4 linked regions of the Schizosaccharomyces pombe genome follow. Changing the gene in region 1 together with any one later gene gives a genetic interaction. Each region holds a gene or a part of one and is shown in the gene's direction. Other genes may lie near its edges.

Region 1 (7,223 bases):
ATCTTACAATTACTCCTCGTGCCACGACTACGACTCCTGATATTTTAATCCATTCCCTATGTGTCTATCTTTATAATAATGGTGTCAGTTTACTTCGTACCCGTGCTATGCTGTGTCATATTTATCATGAAGCATTGCAAAATCGTTTTTACAAGGCTCGTGATATGTTACTTATGTCGCATTTACAAGATAGCGTGCATGCTGCCGACATTGCTACTCAAATTTTACACAATCGCACTATGGTTCAAATTGGTTTGTGTGCTTTCCGCAACGGTATGGTTCAAGAAACACAGTATGCTCTTCAAGACATCTCTACTACTGGTCGTGTAAAGGAACTCCTTGGACAAGGCATACAAGCACCAAAGTTTGGACAATTTACACCTGATCAGGATCGTTTGGATAAGCAGTTGGTTTTACCTTTCCATATGCACATAAATCTAGAACTGCTTGAATGTGTTTACTTGACTTGTTCTATGTTGATGGAGATTCCCGCAATGGCAGCTGCTAGCTCTACTGCTTCAGATTCTAGAAAGCGTGTAATCAGCCGACCCTTCCGTCGTATGCTTGAATACATTGATCGTCAGCTTTTCGTTGGTCCTCCTGAAAATACCCGCGAGTATATAATGCAAGCTTCGAAAGCATTGGCAGATGGTGAATGGCGTCGTTGTGAAGAATTTATTCATGCTATTAAGATTTGGAGCTTAATGCCTGATGCTGACAAAATTAAGCAAATGCTTAGTGAGAAGATTCGGGAAGAGGGACTACGTACATACTTATTAGCATATGCTGCTTTTTACGATTCTGTTTCTCTTGAATTTTTGGCTACGACATTTGATCTTCCTGTTCAGCGTGTTACTGTTATTGTTTCTCGGTTATTATCTAAACGTGAGATCCATGCTGCTCTTGATCAAGTTCACGGTGCCATCATTTTTGAACGTGTTGAGATTAACAAGCTGGAAAGCTTGACTGTTTCTCTTAGCGAGAAAACTGCACAATTGAATGAGGCAAATGAAAAGCTATATGAGCAGAAGACCCAACACACTAATCCTCAGGAGAACAGACGTCGTGATAAGGGTGGCTCGGTTAAAAGACGCAATGAACGCACCGAAAATCGGAATCGTTCAGACATGAATTAAAGTTGTTGTGCATCGGTGAAAAATAGGGCGATCTAATTTCAATAAAATGAATGACTATTTGTCTTTGAAGAAAGTATTTAACTATCAGGTGGTTTCCATAGATCAATAGACATCTGAGTTACTTCATAGTGGTTTTGTTACAAACGTTAATCGGAAATAATGTAGTTTACCGTTTGGTAATTATCTTCAATTGTAAAGATACTTTGCTTCGAAAGTCTGAATCTGTTGACCATTATACACGTTTACAGTAAGCTATTTCTGCAAGCTTTGTTCTTCAGTTTCATATGGTCGCCTTTTTTCCATCGACTGAAAACAGACATGATGTGTGTAATCGAATTTTTGGTCGCTAGTACGAGCTCAATCTATCGGTGTATGGTTTGAAGTTGTTTTCTTTAAAAAATCTATTACTGAACGAAGTATCTCTAATTGTGTTGTTGAACCTCTAAACAAGAGTTCTGAAATTCTATTGAATACTTCTGAAGTCGTATTAAGCATAACAATCCTTACACAATACATTCACACGATCTTGAATGGTAAACCTCTAACGAAGTCAACTGCGATAAGTTTCATATTATTTCTAAAAATGAGGGAAACTTTATAAGAATTTTTTTATCAATGTTAGAACGTCTTAGAGCACCTTAAATTGGTCATAGGTTTCAAACGCATGTAGAACGGGTAGCTGCTACTTTCCGTCACCCTACTACTACAAGTTTTCCTATCTCTAAACCCAGATTTGCAAAAATGTCTTGGCAAGGTTTGTATATCCTCTAGATATTATTACGAATAATATCTAACTTATTTAGCTTACGTTGATACTTCTTTGCTCGGTACTGGAAAAATCGATCGCGCTGCTATCGTCTCTCGTGCTGGTGACAGTGTTTGGGCTGCTTCTGCTGGATTCAATCTTTCTCCTCAGGAAATCCAAGGCCTTGCCGCTGGTTTCCAAGATCCACCTAGTATGTTTGGCACTGGTATCATTTTAGCCGGTCAAAAATACATCACTATTCGAGCTGAAGGACGTTCTATCTATGGTAAATTACAGAAAGAGGGCATTATTTGTGTAGCTACTAAGCTTTGCATTTTGGTTTCTCACTACCCTGAAACAACCCTTCCAGGAGAAGCCGCCAAGATTACTGGTAAGTTTTTCTCAGTTTACTATTCTTAATTAGCACAATTATTAACAACGCAATAGAGGCTTTAGCTGATTATCTTGTTGGTGTTGGGTATTAGATTTTGACATGACAATCAATATTACTGCTATTTCATTTAAATTATCAGATAAAAGTAGTTTTGGATCCTTTCTCATTTTTGAACAGGTTTCTGTTAGTAGGATGTATATCGTTTGTAGAAGATTGCCATGTGTAAATAACAAATGTTAAACTTTTTACTTTCCGTTTGCGAAATAATATTGCGTACAAATTAAAAGCAGTGCAAACATTTTAACTACTAACTTGAGCCAAATTACATTATATGTAAATAAACACAACAATATTTAGATATTTATCTTTTCGCAAAAAAGAGGGTTTGAATAGGAAGAAGTCAGTTCATTAAGTGGAGGGTAACGTGATAGATTTATCTACATAAGCAATTGCAAAAAATCAAGTACTACATATACTTATAAAAATTATTTTACAATGATCCATACACTAGACAAGCCAACAATCTTGACTGTGTAAAAATTCTTTGCAAAAAAAGTGCTCCCGGCGAGGATCGAACTCGCGATTTCCACGTAACACACCTCCTAAGGGGAGTATCATATAAGCATGAGGCCTTAACCAGCTTGGCCACGGGAGCTGTTGCTTGATTTGTAGCAAACTATATAGTATATATAGTGTGTTTCGCAAAGTTGAAAATATGACAAAAAAATAAAAACAAGTTGTAAACAAATGTATTGTTAAGAAGTTAAACGACATTTTCTTTTAATCTTTTGAGATTCTTTTTTTTTTTTTTTTTTTTTAATAAAACTTTGGTTTTTGATAGTTCATTTGAAGAAACTCAGCTTTTCTGAATTTAACAAATTATGTTTGCAATTTACTTACATTATTAAGTGTTTTGGTATATTAAAATGCCAATGAAAGAGTTGAACTGGCCTAATAAATTTTAAAGTAACTTCTAAATTGCTACCAATTTTTAATTATTATTTTTTTTAATATTTTTATGCATTAATAAAACGTGAAAACCCTCGAATTTAAAGAAGTCCCACAATACGGGCAACTATATTTGTTACAAAATAGTGCTACTTCTTAAATTAGGTAAATAATTAGCGTACAGATTTTTCTATTCATTGGTAGACATTCTTCACACCAAGGTAAGAAACAGTGATATTAAACAAAACGTTACTTTTTGATATCCTATAACTTTGACTCAAAACCAAGTCTTCTAGAGCAGCATATTGTAGTTAAAATAACTAATTAAATTAACATGATAAATAAAGTAGTACGAAAATTTTAGAACGCTTTCTTAAACAAGAAGCTAATACTTTCACCGTTATGGGTACGGCGAATAGCCTCTGCAAGTACCCCACTAATATCAATAACAGTAAGTTTGTCACATTCCAGGACTGCTTGTGGTTTGATAGGATACGTATTGGTGACAACAATCTATTGTTACGTTAGTCAGCTTTCCGTGATATTTGACATTACCTGTTCAATGTATTCACAAGATTGCAAATCTTTTAAACATTTATTTTGAAAAATTCCATGGGTACCAATCACTATAACTCTTTTAGCTCCACATCGCTTAACCAAATGTTCGGAAGCGACAATGAAAGCTGTTGGATTTTCAATTGTATCGTCAATTAATAAGGCGGTTTTACCGTTCACATCGCCGACAAGGGTGATCATACGTTCAGCATAAATGGACGCAGACATAATGTTTTCCTCTTCATCATCATCACTGGGACATCCTCCCTGAGAATACAAATTAACTTCTTGAGCATAATCTTCTGAACAAACACTAGCTGGGGTAGTTATAATTTCTTCGTCATCGATAATATGTCCCAAAAGGTACTTAGCAGTATGGATACGAGGACGATCCAAATATACAGAACAATTAGTAACATGTGTTTCAGTTGCTTCTGTTTCATCCATAATGGAATCTTCAAAATTTTGGGAAAAATGAGAACTTCGTTGTCTATCAGTGTTAATCAATGCAAAGTCCAAATTCAAAGTATCCGCCAAACTGGTAACTCTTTTGGCACCACCAGGATTCTTCGAAACTACTACCGCTTCTTCCCAATCATCGACGTTTCTACGAATCCATTCAGCTATGTTAGGCTCTGCATATAGATTGTCGACTGGGCGAGTGAAGAATCCCTGCATTTGAGAAGCATGCAAATCAAGAGTAATTATATGATCAACACCAGCAACGGTTAATAAATTGGCTACCATTCTAGCTGTAATGGCATCTCGATACTTCCGCATTTTAGATTGTTTGGAATAAGGAAAGTAAGGCATGACAGCTGTGATTCTTTTAGCAGATCCACCTTTACAAGCGCTTATAATAATAAGGAGCTCCATTAAGCTGTCATTTACAGTGGAACTTCCACTTTGCAAAATGAAAACGTCCTTATCTCGCACTGACTCACGAATTTCAACGCTTGTCTCGCCATTTGCAAACCTTTTTAGAGATACATCACAAGGTGTAATTCCAAGTCGGTTAGAAATGAGATGTAAAAGTTCAGGATGAGAACCGCCTCCAATGATTGTAGCACTCTTCATATTCCCTATAATATATTTCCTCAACTTACGGTTCCCGAATTTCAAAATCTACAAAATTACTCAAGTGAGCTTCAAAAAACTATATATGTGCTAGAACTACGAGAAGTAATTATATTATCGTTTTCCCGTTAAACAGATGCGTCTAGGTATAGGTAATTGAGTAAAAAGAAGAGTGTAACTTTCTGTTGTTTTTTATTTGCCAGTTTTAAGCATCGGTATACTTATTTAACGTAACTGTAAAATGGCACGCTAAAACGATAGTTTCTTTGTTTTCCCAACATGCTAGATAGGTCACATGGACTCATAAATTGGCATTCCTAAAATGTTAGATAAATATACAAAATCAGCTGAAATATTACTATTAAGTCTAGAAAACAAAAATAATTTAAATTTGACAAAAACTTATTTTTAAAAATGTTTGACATTTTTCGCTTCTTTTGCGTTTAGTCATAACAGTAGTCGCGGTAGTGTTCCAAATATTATAATAGCGATTTCTAAGAGAGTCGCTATATTGAGTGTTTGCCGTAAGCTGACTGAGCGACGAACGTGCTAAGAGCGTAATACTATTCTTTAATCATGAATTCTATCGTATCTAAGTATACACAAAGTACTAACAATGATGACCCAAAAAAAATAATAGAAGAAGAAGGATTTACAAATCGATTTGATGTCGTACCAGTGCCTCAATCTTCTCTTTATTTACGAAACTTAACAGATGAAACGAAAAACAAGCATTGTCTTATTAAAATGAATCATGGTACTACTACTTTAGCTTTTCGTTACCAACATGGTATCGTTGTTTGTGTAGATTCGAGAGCATCTGCCGGTCCTCTTATTGCTTCACAAACCGTTAAAAAAGTTATAGAGATAAACCCATATCTTTTAGGTACTCTTGCTGGTGGTGCAGCTGACTGTCAGTTTTGGGAGACAGTTCTAGGAATGGAATGTCGTTTACATCAACTTAGAAATAAGGAGTTAATCTCTGTTTCTGCTGCTAGCAAAATTCTTTCAAACATTACTTATTCATACAAGGGTTATGGACTTAGCATGGGTACTATGCTTGCTGGAACAGGAAAAGGTGGTACTGCACTTTACTACATCGACAGTGATGGCACCCGATTGAAAGGTGATTTGTTTTCCGTTGGTTCAGGTTCTACATTTGCGTACGGTGTTTTGGACTCTGGATATCGCTGGGACTTATCTAAACAAGAAGCTCTTTATTTAGCTCAGCGCTCTATTGTTGCTGCCACTCACAGAGATGCATACTCTGGTGGCTCAGTAAATCTTTATCACATTGATGAAAATGGTTGGGTCTTCCATGGAAACTTTGATGTTGATAGTCTTATATGGGAAGCAAAAGATAACGAAAACTCCTTTGCTCATATCCCTCGCTAAACTCATGCTTGCTAGTAGTCATGTGTCATCGGTGTATTAAATGAGACGTTGTTATTTGCTATTCCCTTCTAGGTCAACTGTCATTTATTCATTTATTTTATACCCTTATATTTGAATGTCGAAGTCAATTCCGTAAACTATACATCGTTTGTAACTTCTTTCAGAGAATGTACAATTTCACATTGCCATATATTTGATTGACTAGCTTAACATGACTTGAAATGAACCTTGTTTTCAAATCTGTTTTTATCAGTATTCGAGGAGGGGGTTATATTACCGTGTAAGTTATCGTTCATTAATAAATCTATACACACCATATGATAATTGTTCCATTAATGTGATGAGTACTAACGATTGTTAAACAATTAAGCTGCAATTGGGATTGTTTAGCATTTAGTCAACTTAATGATTTTCGCTGAATAAGATTATTTTATGTTGCGGTATGCTATGAGTTTCACTATAGTGAGTTTTTTAACGATTCGATAAAAACTATACAGATTTGTAAAAAGCTATAGCAAGAGTATCGTTGCTTCCTAAAGCGTCGTTATGTTGTCACGGTACTCTACTTGAAAGCATATAGTACTTTCGTTTGTAACACGTTTGCCCTTTTTATTATATCGCCTTTTTTTACAATGAGTAACGTTTCCAGTGAAGATGGAATTGCTCCTGAGACACAGCTTATCATTGATGACCCTGATGTCCAGCAAATCGATGCAGATGAAGATCTGCTTGATGATGTGCCGGACGACGTCGATGTAAATGATATCTTTAAATCATTAAATTGAAATATAGCTAACCAACTTAATATAGTGCGTAGAGCTTATTCAGTCTCGTATACAAAGCATGGCATCTCTTGGACTTGAAAGATTTAAAAATTTACAGAGTTTATGTCTTCGCCAAAATCAAATCAAGAAAATTGAATCAGTTCCAGAAACATTGACTGAATTGGATTTGTATGACAACTTAATTGTCA
Region 2 (4,978 bases), on another chromosome or scaffold:
ATTTTTCGGGAAATACCCCTCAATCACCACAAATAAATTCTGCTGCTTTGAAAGTGGAAACAAAGAATAGCTGGACAGCAATTTCTGAAGAGACTGAAGGACTTCAAGATGACGAAGAGTATAATGGTATTCCTGTCGATGTAAACGAATTGTTAAACGTAGAATTCATATCGCAAATACCAATGAGTACGGAAACAAGCTCCAGTTCAAGCCCGCAGCCTACGGAGGAACGGAAAGCAAAGTTCAAACCCAGTTTTACTCAAGGCACATTCGTCTCAAAGCGCATGCGTATGCATGCGGAGGATTTATTCTAGAAAATAGAAGAATGCAATTGATAAAAAAGAACTACACTTCTACAATTTAGAATATCGCTTTTCATATAAACAAGGTATGACTGATGTTAAATTTATCCATTTTTAACTACCCGTAATACTATTATACTTTAATGACAACGATTTTTGTTTTCTCTTTCATCAAGCATTGTATTGAATAACTTATAGACGAAGAATGCTATTGCTGCTGTGCAAACTGGCTTTATCAATTCGATATATAAACAGTTTTCGCCATGCATGGCTAAGATCGTAAAGTTCAGCATCACAAAAAGTTGGAGGATCATGTTTTAAAAGTGAGTATAAGTACTTGTAATTTTAGACACTACATTTTAGCAGGGGCTTCATCGGCTTTCGCCTCAGCACTTCTCTTGGAGTCGGCAGTATCGCTTTCCGACTTTACTGCTTTTCCAACGTCATCAAAAAAGTTGTTAATTCCATGTCGCACACGTTCAATACCATAAACAATCTTGTGGTCGGCTTTACGAACGTCTTCTTTACCTTCGCGTTCCATTATTTATAATTTCAGAGGATGTACAAAAAATTCAAGGTTGGTCGTATTATCAAAACTTCGCAAATGTATAGGGACAAAAGCAATTAATAACTTTAATCTCACCTAGTGTTTAAGTGTGATAGAATGAGTATTTATCACCAGTTGTTTTGTTAAAGAATAAACCGCCGAAGCCGGGCGGCTGCTGTATATATAGTAAACATATCAGCGTCCCTACCGCCAACCCATGACGTAAGTCGGGTTATTAAGAAATGCGATCTCGTGAAATAAAAAATAAGATTGAAAATAATGGAAATTGGAAGAAAAACCGAGAATTACAAGGGCGTTTTGTATGTACCTGATAAATGAATATGTTTAATCTATTTGACTCACATAAACGTTGTATTTATGTTTTTTTTAGTGTTTATTTATTTTTTCGATTAGTGTATTTCACTAAGTAAACAAATTATTATACGATTTTTTATTCACATCGAATGATGCTGCAGGTACAAATCGAGCTATCTAAAAAATATTACTTTTCAGTACGCCTGAACCGCTTGCATAGTATATTAAGTTTTTGATTAATAGCATGTTGCATTCCATTCAAAAATTTAATATTTTACATAGTAAAACGATTTGAGACGGGAGATAGCTATACAGAACGTGAAGTCTGCAAATACATACATGCTAAATCATTGTTTTATTAGCATAATGTCTAAGTCTATAAGTTCGCTTACCGGAGTTTATGGTAAGTATTTTTTTTCAGGACTGCCTTGGGTCGCTTCTCAAATCACAGTATTCACACATAATCAATACAAAATAGTGAGCAAAACTTGTGCGCTTAACAGAGATAACAATTATAGAGTCTCAAGGATGAATAAAGTGGACTTTGAATGAATCAATTGTTCACCATATATATCTCAGCATTTGAAGGCTTTTTATCTTTCCACTGCAATATTCTATTGCTTTTTTTTGATAGTTTAAGGCTGAAAAATCTTCATTACATCGGTTTTCTTGATAAATTTGTTAATTGTTGACATGAAAAGCTGCACCTGGCAACGCGTTGCCGTTTGTTTACCTCGTTGTTAGTTTCATTTACAATCAACACCACCACCATATACGAATAAAGAATACTGCCATAAAGGCGAGATTGAAAAATCTCTTAATTCGTGTTTTTTTCCGTTTACATGTCTCAACAATTAAGCTTTAATGCATCTTCAGCAAAGCCTGATAAAAGTTTTTCAAATTACTTTTGGGTATGGTGTCTAAGCCAACGTGGATAGCTCATTATCTGCCAAAACTTTCGATTTTTGTGTTAAACACAACACCTTAACTAACATTCTTTATTAGGGTGCAAATGATGAGGGTTATCATGCTTTACTTTCGCGTTTTAGCGATGTGAAACACATTAATGAAGAGCTTCGGTCGTTTTATCATGAAAGGTGAGAAATTTGAGGTGAAGCAGGGTTTAACATGCTATGATCGTTTATTCTAACTTCAACCTTAGAGCGAACATTGAAGAAGATTATGCCAAGCGAATGGCAAAGTTGTCTCGAACAACCTTCAGTTCTTTGGAAACTGGTTGCCTCAAAGAATCAGTCCAAGTTATGAAAGCTGAAGTTGACAATATGGCAAAGTCTCATTTGCAGATTTCTCAGTTGCTTCAGGATGATGTCGAAAATGCGTTTACGCGGTACGCTGCCTCTTTAAAGGACAAGAAAAAGATGATCGTTTCGGGGATAGAAAAAGTTCATAAGGATAAACTCTCCAAGCATCAAGCTCTTGTTAAAGCTCAAGACAAATACCATTACTTGTGCAAGAAAGTAAATTACTATGTTTCTCAGCAAAACATGCTTTTCGGAAAGGAGCTAGAGAAGAACAATGCGAAATTAAACAAGACTCAGAATGCTATCACTGCTAGTTCTTCTGACTATCAATCAGCTGTAGCAGCTGTCAGAGATTCATACGCTCGTTGGACCAACGAATGGCGGTCAACCTGTGACAAACTTCAGGACATTGAAGAAGAAAGAAGACATTTCCTGAAAAGCGTCATGTGGACATTTACACTACTTATCTCTCGTAGTTGCTTTAATGATGATCAAGCATGTGAACGAATTCGCAAAAATCTTGAACAGTGCAGTGTCTCTCAGGATGTTTTGGAATTTATTGACGCAAAATCTACAGGAACGGGAATTCCTCAACCTCCAAAATTTTATGACTATTATAAGGGCGAGGTTCCCGATGATTCTGTAGAGTTGGTTCAGGCTAATTTTCAGCGGGCCCAAACCAAAATAGAAAATGACAACATGCCATTGAATCGTCCATACGTCCTTTCTGCCACCGCTCGTAATGAGTCGTCCTTCGAAAATACCCTTCCTAATACTCCTAGTGCAATTCAATCGCTTACCACTGTTTCTTCTAACTCTTCCCAAAATGGTAGAAGCTCTCCAAAGAAAAGCTTTTTGAGTAAGTTTAAATTAACGAGTCGTCCTTCGACTCCAAACGTTGGTAATACGGCTCCGGATGCATTATCAAGTCCGAGAAATGACTCTCCTTTAACTTCAGCGGCTGATGAACAGATGAAGCATCTTTCTTTACAAGAAGAGCCAAAACAGAATCCTACGCCTGCTGCTCCTGGTGCCTTCCCTAACTCTAATACACTACCACCAAGGTATAACGAACTTGGTTCTCTACCAAGTCCTAATTCTGTTTCTTTCACCGAGGACTCCCGCCCAAATGTTAACACTCCATCACGGCGTCAACAAATTCAGGAAGAATTTGGTAGTGTACTACAAATGGAGAATCGTGCGGTTTCACCCGTTTATGATTCAAGAAAGAATGGATCTCGAAGTTCATTCACATTGAGGAAAAGTAGGTCACCAAAACGTCCTTCCTCTTCCCTTTCTCAGAATGCCAGCCGACTTCCTCGTTCCTTAACACCAGGAAATTTAGAGCCAAATTATGATTTCGGTGTTCGAGTTGATCCAGCAAGTGGTACTGCACCTACCGATGACGAGCCTTATACTGATCGGGACTCTTCCTTTGTTGATGATACAATAAATACAAAAGCTACTGGAAACACGTCTAACCGACTTTCTTTACCTGCATATCCTACAGACGGCGGTGACACCAGTATTGATAATCCAACAAGTACAGATGGTCAACGTATTCTTGGTTATGGTATGTCTAATCTGTCCATCGCTATTACAATTACTAACTTGAATTTAGTATCTGCTTTATATGATTATGATGCTGCAATACCCGAAGAGATAAGCTTCAGGAAGGGAGATACCATTGCAGTTCTTAAGCTTTATGAAGACGGCTGGTGGGAGGGATTTGTCGTTGGAGAGGATGACCATAACCGTGGGCAATTTCCGTCAAATTTTGTTCGTGAAATCGAGGTTTAGCTTTCGTATTATAGTTTCGCATTTTCTCATCTTTTCTCATTCTCATTTAAATCTAAAATACTAGATTTCTAATTTTGGTTGTTTTACATTATAGGATATTTAGAATGCTACACGTTTAGTTAAGTTATCTACATTATAAGATTATTATCTTATAAATCTTTATGAATTTTGCAGATTAAAATGATACCGATTGTTATATATAGCATTATGTTCAAAATGATTGAATTATTGTCATTCATTGCACCATTTTCTACCTAAATATTTCTAGTAATTCTCGTTTGCTTCTAAAATTCTGTAATAACTTAAAAAACATCAAATCTTTACCAATCTAAGTTAACACACAGGTCTATAATAGCTTCATGTATAACTAATTACTATTTCCTAGTAAGCTGTGACAACGTGGCCGAGTGGTTTTAAGGCGTTCGCCTGCTATTCTGTAGCCCAGCGGATTCCCTTTGGGAGCGCAGGTTCGAATCCTGCCGTTGTCGATATCTTTTTTAAGTTGCAAAGCGATTCACTATAAATTTTTGCGGTTCTATATTGGAAATCGCTATTCACTGTTATTTTTGTTACTTAGCAAAGTGGTTTTGTTGTTATAACTAACGTCTCCAACGATAAAAGACAACAATCTGCTTGTATTACTATAAATGCAAGATTCTTCCTCTTACGCGAGGCGTATGTTTTCTTTTTTTTCTTTTGACTAATAAGTTAACAATAAGTTTAGGGTATTCACAGGCACCTTCTTCATCTAA
Region 3 (8,183 bases), 2.2 Mb from region 1:
ATTCGTAGCAATTTCTTCAACAATTTTTTCAGGCTCAACTTGATCAGTCAAAGTTGAATGTTGAGGACGAGAATATGCTTCTTGAGGTTCTTGAATGCAATTGAAATTTGGTTGAATAGGTGAAGTCGCAGATGGTAAATAAACATAAATGCGGCCTTCATTTACTTCACTGTTGTATTTTATAGATTGCTGCTCAAGCATTCGCACAATTGCAGGTCGTAGTTTTTCCACATGATTAGCACTGTGATTACCGCGCCCAACTATACTAAAAAAGAGTTAATTTTAATTAAGCGTAAAACATACATATGTAAATGATTGTCACCACGTCGGATGCAATTCTCAATTCGCTGTTGTACTGCTTGTACAGCTTCATCGATGTACAGACCATGTAAATCAATTTCATCGGGATTGCATTGAGAGTTTTTATATAAATAAATGGCTGAAGCCGCTATCAATAATTAGCACAGTCATAAAACACTTCTATTTTGTTTTCTCGAAGCCAATATGGGTTTGAAGAAACCCAGTGTTTTAAGTTCTATAAAGAAGCCAACCCATTTTTCTCTTAAATCACATGGCTTTATTCAGCTGTTTCAGAGCTCTTCACTTTGTACAAAGAATAGTTCATTGTCATAACTACTATTGTTTGGCGTATTGTCTGACCGATAACTACCGGAATTAGATACCAAACAAAAAGAGTGGAAAAGAAAGAAAGAAAAATCTCATGATGGGTTTGTTTTTCTATTATTGAAAGTTTATAGGGTTTGAACTAACAATCACAGCTTTTAATGAGAATTTGAGATTACCTTGTCGATTATAATTTTCCATACGCTCTCCACATAACTTTCCTTCTTGGCTTAGTTCATGCGCTTTAGCCTTGTTTCCTGCTGAATAGGCATGCTGAGCTTCTTGAAATAAATACCCTCGTTTTTCAGCCTCTTTTGACGCCAACGCTCTAAACTTTTCATACTTCAATAAAGTTAGTTACACCTAATTTCTCCTTATCTCTTTGATTAATAATTACCTCCTCCATTTCTATTGTTTCAGGTGTGGTACTAGACAATGAAGTTAACAATAGGAAATCTGAACAATGGAGTACCACAAAAAATGTTATATAATTCAGCTAGATCTCTGACAAAGATGAAAAATAATTTTTAAGAACTGTCTAAACAATAGTAAATCCTTTTGTTTTTTGTTTCGAATCTGTTTAAACTACAATTTTGCAATTGTTCGAACAGCATTCCATTGGTGTGTTTTGAGTCCATATATTTGGAAATTTGCTGTATATCTTCAAGCGAAAATTTAACTTTTGAGACATAGAAGTGTTTTCTGGAAATTCTAAACAAAGAGGAATTATTGGCATAACAGTTCATTGGGAAACTGAGTCATCAAGTGCTTTACAAATCACATTTTTAAACTTCTTAAACTAAAAAAATCTCGGGTTTATATTGTTCTTGCTCCCTCTGACATTATGAGACAACCATGGTGGAAAGACTTTACTATTCCCGATGCATCCGCAATTATTCACCAAAATATTACCATTGTCTCTATTGTAGGAGAGATTGAAGTGCCAGTTTCAACAATTGATGCATATGAAAGAGATAGACTTTTAACTGGAATGACTTTGTCTGCCCAACTTGCTTTAGGAGTCCTTACCATTTTGATGGTTTGTCTATTGTCATCATCCGAAAAACGAAAACACCCAGTTTTTGTTTTTAATTCGGCAAGTATTGTTGCAATGTGTCTTCGGGCCATTTTGAATATAGTGACCATATGCAGCAATAGCTACAGTATCCTGGTTAATTACGGGTTTATCTTAAACATGGTTCATATGTATGTCCATGTGTTTAATATTTTAATTTTGTTGCTTGCACCGGTCATCATTTTTACTGCTGAGATGAGCATGATGATTCAAGTTCGTATAATTTGTGCACATGATAGAAAGACACAAAGGATAATGACTGTTATTAGTGCCTGCTTAACTGTTTTGGTTCTCGCATTTTGGATTACTAACATGTGTCAACAGATTCAGTATCTGTTATGGTTAACTCCACTTAGCAGCAAGACCATTGTTGGATACTCTTGGCCCTACTTTATTGCTAAAATACTTTTTGCTTTTAGCATTATTTTTCACAGTGGTGTTTTTTCATACAAACTCTTTCGTGCCATATTAATACGGAAAAAAATTGGGCAATTTCCATTTGGTCCGATGCAGTGTATTTTAGTTATTAGCTGCCAATGTCTTATTGTTCCAGCTACCTTTACTATAATAGATAGTTTTATCCATACGTATGATGGCTTTAGCTCTATGACTCAATGTCTGCTAATCATTTCTCTTCCTCTTTCGAGTTTATGGGCGTCTAGTACAGCTCTGAAATTGCAAAGCATGAAAACTTCATCTGCGCAAGGAGAAACCACCGAGGTTTCGATTAGAGTTGATAGAACGTTTGATATCAAACATACTCCCAGTGACGATTATTCGATTTCTGATGAATCTGAAACTAAAAAGTGGACGTAACTTACGCCTGAATGTATCTTTTTTGATAATTCCTAATACTGGCTCAATAACAGTCCCAAATAACATAGACGGTTTTTTTACGATAGGCTTGTAATCATAATTTGCTCAGAGGGAAGTTTTCTAATGGTTTTTTTTTTTTCGCTTCATGAACAATTGTTTACTATAAACATCAATGAAATTATATGATTATAATAACTTATTATCATGAAAACTTCAAGTCGTACTTCACAAACACTTATTAAAACAATAGTGAATGAACTGCCTTCGTAATCTATAATGAACTATAATGTTTTGAGTCTCCAAGTGCTTACCTTACGAACTTTTTTTTTTATTTAAAGCTTCTTGTACCGTAGAAGCCATATCATTCATCGAAGAAGCTAATTCCTTTCTAAGCATCGTTTGCTTTTGTACTTTGGCCGATTGCATTAGCAGTTCTTCCAGACGTGATTTAAACGTTTCCACTATATACACGTAAGTATTGAGCTATTAAATAAAAATTATAACCAACCTGCTGACAATAAAATGTATTTATCCTCCATTTATTTTTATCAAATATTGTATCGAAATGTTTTAGCTGCGAAACGTTACACTCCTTAATTTAGTAATAGCAATATAATAAGGATCTTTAAACCGATATGTGTTATTCTCAAATTGCATTGCTCCACTTATTTCAGTAAACAGATGACAAATATTCAATAATGGTATATGTCGATAATTATAATTCTTTTGTTTAAGTCTTGTATTCAATTTAATGCACACATCTAGTTACTAGAGAAATAAATTCTTTATTAAATCGGTTCCGCGATTCTTCATTTTTGCACAGCGCTCCTAGTCATACCAATCTCATAATAAACGATCGAAGTGTTACCTGCACATTAAACAAACAAATAGAGTCCGTGTTTTTCTTTTAAATAATAGTAATACTATGTGAAACGAAGAATCTTTTAACTAATAAGCGATAATATACATTACTGCCGAACAATTATAAATGCACAGTTATGGCTTTGAGTATAAGGGGTAACGATACTAATGCTAAGTACAATAGAAGATAAGATCATTAACCGTAAAAACCTTTGAGCTATTCTTTTTGCAGCCAATTGTTAAATTAATTTAGATACTTCATTTCTGTTTTATAATTCTCAAGATTACTGCACTTCGCTTTCCTACGATATTACATATTTACGATATATCACCGAATGCTCTGCTACAGTTGCAGTGCTGCTGTGTCATACGGTATATGGCAGATAGTTACCGCCGGTACATTACATAGGGGTGGACTTAAGAACTAACCTTTCACCAACTACACGAGACGTTTATAAAATGGAGTCTGCTCCCATTGTTCTAGATAATGGAACTGGTTTTGTGAAGGTAATCAGTTTAATTAAATCTTTGTTTACACTGTGACTAACGTTAGCAAGGTCGGATATGCTAAAGACAATTTTCCGCGCTTTCAATTCCCATCCATCGTAGGAAGGCCCATTTTACGTGCTGAAGAGAAAACAGGAAATGTTCAAATTAAAGATGTTATGGTCGGTGATGAAGCTGAGGCGGTGAGATCTTTACTTCAAGTAAAATATCCCATGGAAAATGGCATTATCCGTGATTTTGAAGAGATGAATCAACTTTGGGATTACACTTTCTTTGAAAAACTAAAAATTGATCCGAGGGGTAGGAAAATTTTGTTGACCGAGCCCCCTATGAATCCTGTTGCTAACCGCGAAAAAATGTGTGAGACAATGTTTGAACGGTATGGTTTTGGTGGTGTTTATGTCGCCATTCAGGCCGTTCTCTCTTTATACGCACAGGGATTAAGCAGTGGTGTAGTTGTTGATTCTGGTGACGGTGTAACCCATATTGTGCCTGTCTATGAAAGTGTTGTTTTAAATCATTTAGTTGGTCGCCTTGACGTTGCCGGTAGGGATGCTACCCGCTATTTGATTAGCTTACTTCTTCGTAAGGGTTATGCTTTCAATCGTACAGCAGACTTTGAAACTGTTCGCGAGATGAAAGAAAAACTTTGTTACGTTAGTTATGATTTGGAATTGGACCATAAGCTTAGCGAAGAAACTACCGTTTTAATGCGTAATTACACCCTTCCTGATGGAAGAGTTATTAAAGTTGGTTCTGAGCGTTATGAATGTCCAGAATGTCTATTTCAACCTCATCTGGTTGGTAGTGAACAACCAGGTTTGAGTGAATTTATTTTTGACACTATCCAAGCAGCTGATGTGGACATTCGCAAGTATTTGTATCGCGCCATTGTTCTCTCAGGTGGTAGCAGTATGTATGCCGGTCTTCCTTCACGTCTTGAAAAGGAAATAAAACAGTTATGGTTTGAGCGTGTTCTTCATGGAGATCCCGCACGTTTGCCTAACTTTAAGGTTAAGATTGAAGACGCTCCTCGTCGCCGTCATGCCGTGTTTATCGGCGGCGCCGTATTGGCAGATATCATGGCTCAAAACGATCACATGTGGGTGTCCAAGGCAGAATGGGAGGAGTATGGAGTACGTGCACTAGACAAATTGGGTCCTAGAACTACTTAGAGTATATTTATGTTTAATGTTCTGTTTCTTTCTTTTTATGTGCTAGTAAATTGAGTTATACGAAGTTTGATTCATAAATTTCAAACTTTGCTAAATGATTACGTTTTCTGTTTAATCCGACCATCGTTAAAAGACGGTACGATTCCTTCTTTTATTTGCCTTTTTGATTCCTTTTTCTTTTGATGGGCTATTTACTTATGCTTGATGTTTATACAACCTTTTTGTAACCAACGATCTTATTTACTCAATATGCACTAGTACACTTCAATAGCAACAGACTTAATGACTAGACTCCCGTGACGTATATATTTGGTTTCGCCCATTTAGGGCGTTTTCTTATTAGGTCCTAGTTTTAACAAAAATAGCTTGACATTCTGAGCTTCTAGTTTTCTGAAGATTGACATCCACGGAAAACATGAGTAACATTTAAAAGCAGGAATTTCTATTATTGTAAATAAATAAATTACCGACCTAATTTTTTTGTTAAATTGTATATATAAACCATTAATAATGTGTCCAAGACAGCCTAGAAAAATTAATGCTCTTAATTAAGCACGACAGCATAAGAGGAGTAGAAATTGCCGCACAAATCGACTGAAATTTCTCATAACGGTGTAAGAGGAATTCATTAGGAAACAAAACGACGGAACATTGAAACAACCTTAAATAAATAAGAACAAATATAAAAGTGTAGTTTACGAAGACAAAATGCCTCGTGAAACCGACAGATGAAAAACAACGTGAAACCGAAAATATGTGAATAAAAAATGAACAACATAGAACAACAGTAATGAAAATGAAAATATAAAAACAAAGAACAAAAGCAAAGAATAAAAAAGGAGAAACGACTGGAGTAAATAAGAGAAGAATCCAGAAGAAGTAATTTAAAGTTGCTTCCATTGTTCAATTATTCGAAGAGCTGTTTGAAGTTCCTCAGCTACAGCAACAACATTTTTCCGCTGGAACGCCTGCATCCACTGTCGTTCATAATAAGCATCTTCCACGTCATCGTTTTCGAGTAAATAAACATGCTTCAAGTTAAGATAAACGCCAAGTAAATGTATCTGATAAATATCAGTTACAAAATATGGGTACTTCACAACTTGGGACACCACGTAGTCAAATAAAAGTTTGGCTTGATCGTCGATAGTAGAGGAATCGGGAAAAGATGGAGGCTGCCAAAAGTGCAATGTATATTTAAGTTTATAATTATCATAAAATGAAACAGGCAAATTGTGATCTTTGGATAGAAATATCAGTATATCAGCTGAAGTTTTTTTATGCTGCTTAATATCTGCTAATTCAAATAGCAAAGAAGAAGACGCATCAGGGGCAAAGGCGACAACTGCACCACTTAACTCAAGATATCGTGAATCCGATAATACCCGAGTGGAGACAAGGTACTTATCCGGAATTGGTCGAATCTTTTTGAGTGCAAGTTGACATTCATCGTCGGCATATTCAGCATAATTGATGGGGAAAGAACGAACTTTGAACTTTTTAGCCTCGTCAAAAGGAACAACAGAGTCCATGACATGATTAAACAGATGAAATGTGAACCTTGCAGGAGTGGCAGCATTCAAAACTGCAAAGTACAAAGGATTAAATAAGTCGCTGCCATTATTAAAAGTTGGAAGAGAATCGTGAGCATTATTAGAAAGGGGAAAACATATATCAGAAAGGACATTAATATTACGTTCTTTCAAGTACCAGTTTTGGCCCATTAAAGTAAGAAAATTATCAGAGGCGGCAAAGCATGGGCGGTTGATCAAAACAACATTGCGAATACCTCCTAACTGAGCATCCATGGTGTAATAAAAATTACGTTTTAAAGCTGACAAATGACGATGATAAATAGGATATTCGGTTTTCAGCTTTTTCATAGTAGTGTTCGAATAGAAGATTAAAGGACGAAGTAGAAGAATGAGGCTTCCAAATAAGAATAGTCGAAGACACCATCCGCCGATACCATTACCAGCAAAAATCCGTAATGGAAGGCCCATATCAATTGGATGTGAGCATAAACAGAATAAGAAAAATCAAATATGAATTAAAAGAAAGAAAAGAAGAAAAAACCAAGTATTCTTGAACCGATACTCACTATTCTATTTTAACAAGTGTGATAACAGTTTTGGAACCAGTGTGAAAACTAAATAAAGAGGAAAAAATTTTTTTAAAACCCTTCAATACAAATAATCGACACACAAACGGAAACGAGGATAAGAAAATGAGTCAAAGGGGGAAACCATATAAAAGTGTAAAGATGATACCAATGACTTCTCTGGGCAGGAAGAAGAAGGAACGAATGAAAGTAGCAAATGTCTAACCAAAACAAAAATTAAACGAGAGAAATTAGAAAGTTAGAAGATTTCCTTTTATTTGTATTATGAGCCGTGGGAGTAAAAAAAGCAACGGCAAATGAAGAAAAAAAAAATTAAATTAAGAAGATGATTAACGAAAAAAGACGAATTTTCAGTAGAGAAAATATATAAGAAATACCTTACTTTGTTGAGTTTTAATCGGACTTCGGTCTCACGAAATCACGACAGGCTAGGAAGAAAATTTGAAGAGTGGGGCTCAGAGCATTTATACTTGGAAGATGCGAAATGAGTAGTTAAAAAAAGACTTGACCAAATTTTATAGTTCCCTTGACCGTTAAATCTTTTCCCAATATTCTATACAATATATGGGAGGGTTGATGTACAGAGGATGAGTTTGAATTCACTGGTATGACCAAAGTATGCGGCAATCAAGGACTAAGGCTGGAAAGAGAAGTAACGCACAATCTAACCTTAAAGTAACGAAAAACAAGGATGCAAAGGAGCTTAATGAGTGGTAACGAGACTTTTTCAATCTGATATTTAAAGATTTAGGAAGCAAATGCAAAGAGAAAGAAGAAAGGAGGTGCAGATTAAACAGTGAAAGTGAGAAGGTACGAACAAAAAGAAAAAGAAATTTGAACGCGTGCGTACACAAGAGAAAGAAAGAATGAAGCGAAAAAAATAGAAAGAGAGACACGCAAAGACGGAAAAAGGGAGAGAGAGAAAAATAAAGGACAATCTTGTTTAAACACGAGGACGCGCTTTTTAAACTAATGAATCGACAATAATATAAAAGAAAAAGCT
Region 4 (4,170 bases), 470 kb from region 1:
ATTGTCAAACGGAACACGAGATATTAACAAAAGAGGAACAATAGCACCACCTTTCCACAGTCTACAATATAATGGTGGTAGACGCGTCGCAACACAGAAAAGAAACGTATCTTTGGCAAAACAAAAAAAAAATTTTAAAGTCAGTTCCTTTCAATGAAGAGACTACCAATTCCAATTTTTTAACCTTTAGGATAAAAAAGCGACAATTCTAACAAACTTCGACAAACCATATCAAAATCCTAAATCACCAGCAAAAAATCCAAATTAAGAGTTGGACTGCCCTCACTGCCTCACCCACTTCACCTGTCATAAACACAAACAAAACTACTTACAAAACAAAATTGCCACGTTGACGTATAAGCTACAGCAATCAACACAGCAACACTGAATATCAAATTGCTAATAGTACACAAAAACAAGAATGAACAAAATTAATGCCGGCTAACCTTCACAACACACGCGCGCATAAACTGCCTATTACACTAAAACAAGCAATATGCAATATTTACTTCGTTGTATAGCGCCAAACAATAACAGATAGCACAAATGACTTAAGATTTATAGCGACTTGGCTTCAAAGGGACAAAAAAGTAGTGCCCTATAACAAATTAACGATTAATAACGATATCGAACTCTTCCGCGCGACTAGCAATTTCAAGAGTCGAACCGAGGAAAAATGTGGTTTGCAGAGGGAAGGAGGAAACATGTTGGTATAAGTCACCGTTGTCCTCAGGGTTAGGGTTTTGATGTGAATCAACATTGCGGCGGATGAACGATTAGATGATAATTTCAATGGAGGGCGACTGACCAATTATCTTTCTCCTACGTCACCACTGGCTAAAGCTATCAGGCGCAACGCAAATCGCGGGGTGTTATTGTAAACAAACAAAACCAAAAAATTCGGCCAAACTATGTGTTCTGCAAGTAAACAACTTAATAATAATACAATTAAAAGATAAATGATCAACAATAATTGCAGGTTAACTTCTTACAAAATTTCGATAAAAGTTTCAAACCCACAAAGCACATTTTCTGTTTTAAGTGTTTGTAATCACACACTCACTGCTACAACAACAGTAATTACAGCCTTTGTCAAGACAATAAACAGATAGAAATACGGAAAAGTGCAATTATCCAATGTAATCCTCCAATGTACTGACAAAAAGGTTCAATCCAGTTTAAGCAAGGTTAGAAATGTTTGTTTACACAATTGGTTTCAGCCGTGCGCTAGTAGTCTTAGTATGGCCAAACATACGAAAAAAGTTAGAATGCAAGATTCGAACTCGGGATTTCAAGAACTCCGAACGGGACAAAGAATCTTATGGAACGGAATGGAATCATTTCTCGGTCATTTGAGAAACCGTCCTACAATCTGATTGGTTAAAAGGACCACACCATGAAAAAACCCATGTGATTTTTGCGAATCAGAAATCGGTGAGAGATGGGAGTTGAACGCTTGTACATAATTACGTGACAGTGGCAAAATCTAGGCTCTCCCAAAATTTTTGATCACAGTTAATGTTCCGCAAATTTTTAGAACGTTGAGTCGCGCTATTCCATTTGAAAACCGTTTAACAAAACAAATTAAATGTTCTTTATTTCTAAGGAACGCAGTTTGAAGATATACGAACACTAAATTCGTAAGTTGTCATACTGCATAACGACAGTAAAACGTTATTAAAGGTTGAGTGGATGCTAAAACAGAAGGTGAGATGTAGATAAAGATCAAAAAGCAGTTAAACAATGCATTTGTTAAGGTTATAAACATAAGAATAGATTTTAAAAGATCCATAGTTTAAATAAAATGAAAGACCATTGCTTAAAATGAAAGAAGGACGTTTGTTATTGACTTTTTTATGACTTTACATGGTTTGACTCGTAGAAAATCCAAACTTTAGATAGAAAGCGATTCAAGCATTGACTTTGGCATATAATTCTCCTTGTTTCTGTATTAAGGAATTTAACCGATATACAGAAAAGTTTTGTATTCGTTGCCAATACTAAATTTAACTTGAAAATGTTCAATATTGAAAAATAGACAGCTTATTGAAGTGACCAACAGTAGCATCTAATAAATTCTTGACTTTTTCCGCTTGAACAAAATGTGCTCTTCTTTTGATTATTTTTAACAGCTCATTGATATTACCAGTTTGATTATAAAGTAAGTTTGAGGTTGGTTTTTGCTACGTTGTCATCACCAGAGGGTTCATCGTTCAATGTTCACCGCCATATGTTGTTCACTTTCTAAACTTACGCAGAAAGCACCAGAGTACAAGTACCTCACCACCAGTCAGTCACCTCTACTATTTGTGTACTGCACCGTGAAGAATCTTCGTAATTTATGCGACGAATCTAAAGTTACTTCCTATAATCATTAAGGCCTCACTTTTATTCTGAGATCGCTATCCGGTTGTATTCTTTTGTTTAAAGCATTATATCATCAACTCACCATGAATGTAAGTATTACTGAAATTAATTACCTTGCCCAATTTTTTTGTTATATTTTTATTATATAGCCATCTGTAAATTCATCTTATCATTGAATGCATATTTCATCGATTTTCGTCAGTATTGCTCAGAGACTTTATGAATTTGCTTTTCACATTCTTTGTCGTTATCCTTCTTTACAATATCAGCTAACTTATTCTTTTAGTCTGAAGACGCTGCATTAGATTTACTCCGACGATTAAACCCAAAAGATATCTCTAAAAACCTAGACACAATTCTTTCCGTCGCTCCCGATTTAGCTGATGTCCTTCTCTCGTCTGTTGATCAGCCTCTAAAAGTAAATACTTGTTCTGAGTCAGGTAATCAATATTTGTTATGTGACTTTAACAGGGATGGAGATTCGTACCGCTCACCATGGAGCAATAAATATGATCCTCCTTTGGAGGATGGTTTAGTTTCTACTGATCGAGTTCGTAAATTAGAAGTTTCTTTGAATGAAGCAATCCGTGTCTATCTTGATCTTTATTACGAGGGCGGTGTTAGTAGCGTTTATCTTTGGGACCAAGACGATAGTTACGCAGGCGCCGTTCTCATAAAAAAGGGTATTTTTATTTTCTGTCAATTTCATTATATAATTCTAACTTCATTTAGCTTCTACTTCTAACTCAAGCGGATGGGATTCTATTCACGTGTTTGAATGTCTGCCTACCACGGAAACCAACGTTTATGATTACCGACTTACAAGTACTATTATCCTTTTCCTTTCATCTGGCTCGGAGGAACAGTCTGCCTTGCCTTCCAAAGCTCTTAACCTTTCAGGTCATTTGACTCGCCAAACTTCTCAACGATTACCAGCGGCAGATGATGACACTGAGATCGCTAATGTTGGCAAATTGGTTGAGGAAATGGAAACTCGGATGCGCAACTTCCTCCAGGATGTCTACTTTGGAAAAACTAAAGATATCATCAACCAGACTCGTTCCATTCAACCCGTTTCCGATGCCCAACCAAATGATTCGGCTTTGCGTTCAGTTTTAAACGATCTTTCCATTTAGGATTGCTTTTTGTTTTCTTTCCGTGATCTTCTCATAGTATTCGTTCCATCTTCAACGAAAATAGTCATAGAAAGATTGACTAATATAAATAAATACACCGATAATCTAATTTTTTTACAACAGTTTTAAAAGAAATTATTGAATTTAATTGTTCAGTAAAAAAGTTTATATAAATAGCATTAAAAAATATACGTTAAGAGACTTTATAAGAAAGCTGTTAATCGAAGATCATGTAAAAAAGGTCATGAAATAAGCTGATATGGTTTAGACGAGGAACGTGATCGAAGAGAGGAGTAATTTATTGGAATTGGAAGACGCGCCAGGTATAATCGGTGAAAAAGGTCAAAATCCATACCCATCTTGTAATGCCAATCTGGCTTTTGAGAAGTTAGCGGCTTGGTACGTAGCTGAACTAACCAGAAACCAGTATACTGCATTAACTCAAAAAGCTGGGATTGGGTAATTCCACGGGGAAACGAAAAAATGCCACAGTTCCATGAAATCCAAACTATGTTATACATTATATACAACATTTGTTCCGATGAAAATGAAGTCATGGGTTTTTGATCAGGCGAAGGGAGTTGAAGCGGGCATGGTAAGGGAATACTGGTATACTGAGCTAAAAATATACAAATAAAGGATAAAGTTAAAGCACAATCAGGATTTA

What was found.
Region 2: mutations in cdc3 (region 1) and imp2 impair growth when combined (synthetic growth defect), as found in Schizosaccharomyces pombe (one study listed by BioGRID).
Region 3: of cdc3 (region 1) and arp2, a mutation in one rescues a mutant of the other (synthetic rescue), as found in Schizosaccharomyces pombe (one study listed by BioGRID).
Region 4: mutations in cdc3 (region 1) and acp2 are lethal when combined (synthetic lethality), as found in Schizosaccharomyces pombe (2 studies listed by BioGRID, with this or other methods).

The regions. Positions count from the first base shown.
Region 1 is NC_003424.3:2,574,133-2,581,355, reverse strand, and holds cdc3 (profilin), read left to right. Parts: upstream 1-1,830; 5' UTR 1,831-1,877; coding exon 1,878-1,890; intron 1,891-1,939; coding exon 1,940-2,272; intron 2,273-2,328; coding exon 2,329-2,366; 3' UTR 2,367-2,400; downstream 2,401-7,223. Other genes in the region: tif303 (translation initiation factor eIF3c), read left to right, coding at 1-1,136; SPOM_SPAC4A8.14 (ribose-phosphate pyrophosphokinase), read right to left, coding at 3,584-3,736, 3,779-4,855; pts1 (20S proteasome complex subunit beta 5), read left to right, coding at 5,432-6,250; serine/threonine protein phosphatase PP1 regulatory subunit Sds22, read left to right, coding at 6,883-7,005, 7,061-7,223. UniProt on the Schizosaccharomyces pombe protein: Binds to actin and affects the structure of the cytoskeleton. At high concentrations, profilin prevents the polymerization of actin, whereas it enhances it at low concentrations. By binding to PIP2, it inhibits the formation of IP3 and DG.
Region 2 is NC_003423.3:3,345,975-3,350,952, forward strand, and holds imp2 (F-BAR domain protein Imp2), read left to right. Parts: upstream 1-1,925; 5' UTR 1,926-2,006; coding exon 2,007-2,075; exon of another isoform or gene 2,076-2,169; coding exon 2,170-2,261; exon of another isoform or gene 2,262-2,326; coding exon 2,327-3,999; exon of another isoform or gene 4,000-4,047; coding exon 4,048-4,226; 3' UTR 4,227-4,478; downstream 4,479-4,978. Other genes in the region: SPOM_SPBC11C11.01 (U2-associated protein), read left to right, coding at 1-314; protein tam11, read right to left, coding at 655-843; protein Ndc80, read left to right, coding at 4,874-4,901, 4,951-4,978. UniProt on the Schizosaccharomyces pombe protein: Required for normal septation. Involved in the disassembly of the medial ring during septation.
Region 3 is NC_003424.3:4,779,220-4,787,402, forward strand, and holds arp2 (ARP2/3 actin-organizing complex actin-related protein subunit Arp2), read left to right. Parts: upstream 1-3,802; 5' UTR 3,803-3,835; coding exon 3,836-3,883; intron 3,884-3,907; exon of another isoform or gene 3,908-3,933; coding exon 3,934-5,058; 3' UTR 5,059-5,546; downstream 5,547-8,183. Other genes in the region: SPOM_SPAC11H11.03C (uncharacterized protein), read right to left, coding at 1-265, 304-448, 804-966, 1,022-1,030; pheromone p-factor receptor Mam2, read left to right, coding at 1,469-2,515; protein Fta6, read right to left, coding at 2,828-2,976, 3,024-3,054; Golgi 4,6-pyruvylated galactose (PvGal) residue biosynthesis protein Pvg5, read right to left, coding at 5,943-7,061.
Region 4 is NC_003424.3:2,103,530-2,107,699, reverse strand, and holds acp2 (F-actin-capping protein beta subunit acp2), read left to right. Parts: upstream 1-2,266; 5' UTR 2,267-2,450; coding exon 2,451-2,456; exon of another isoform or gene 2,457-2,653; coding exon 2,654-3,050; intron 3,051-3,099; coding exon 3,100-3,503; 3' UTR 3,504-3,670; downstream 3,671-4,170. Other genes in the region: protein Atg14, read right to left, coding at 3,746-4,170. UniProt on the Schizosaccharomyces pombe protein: F-actin-capping proteins bind in a Ca(2+)-independent manner to the fast growing ends of actin filaments (barbed end) thereby blocking the exchange of subunits at these ends.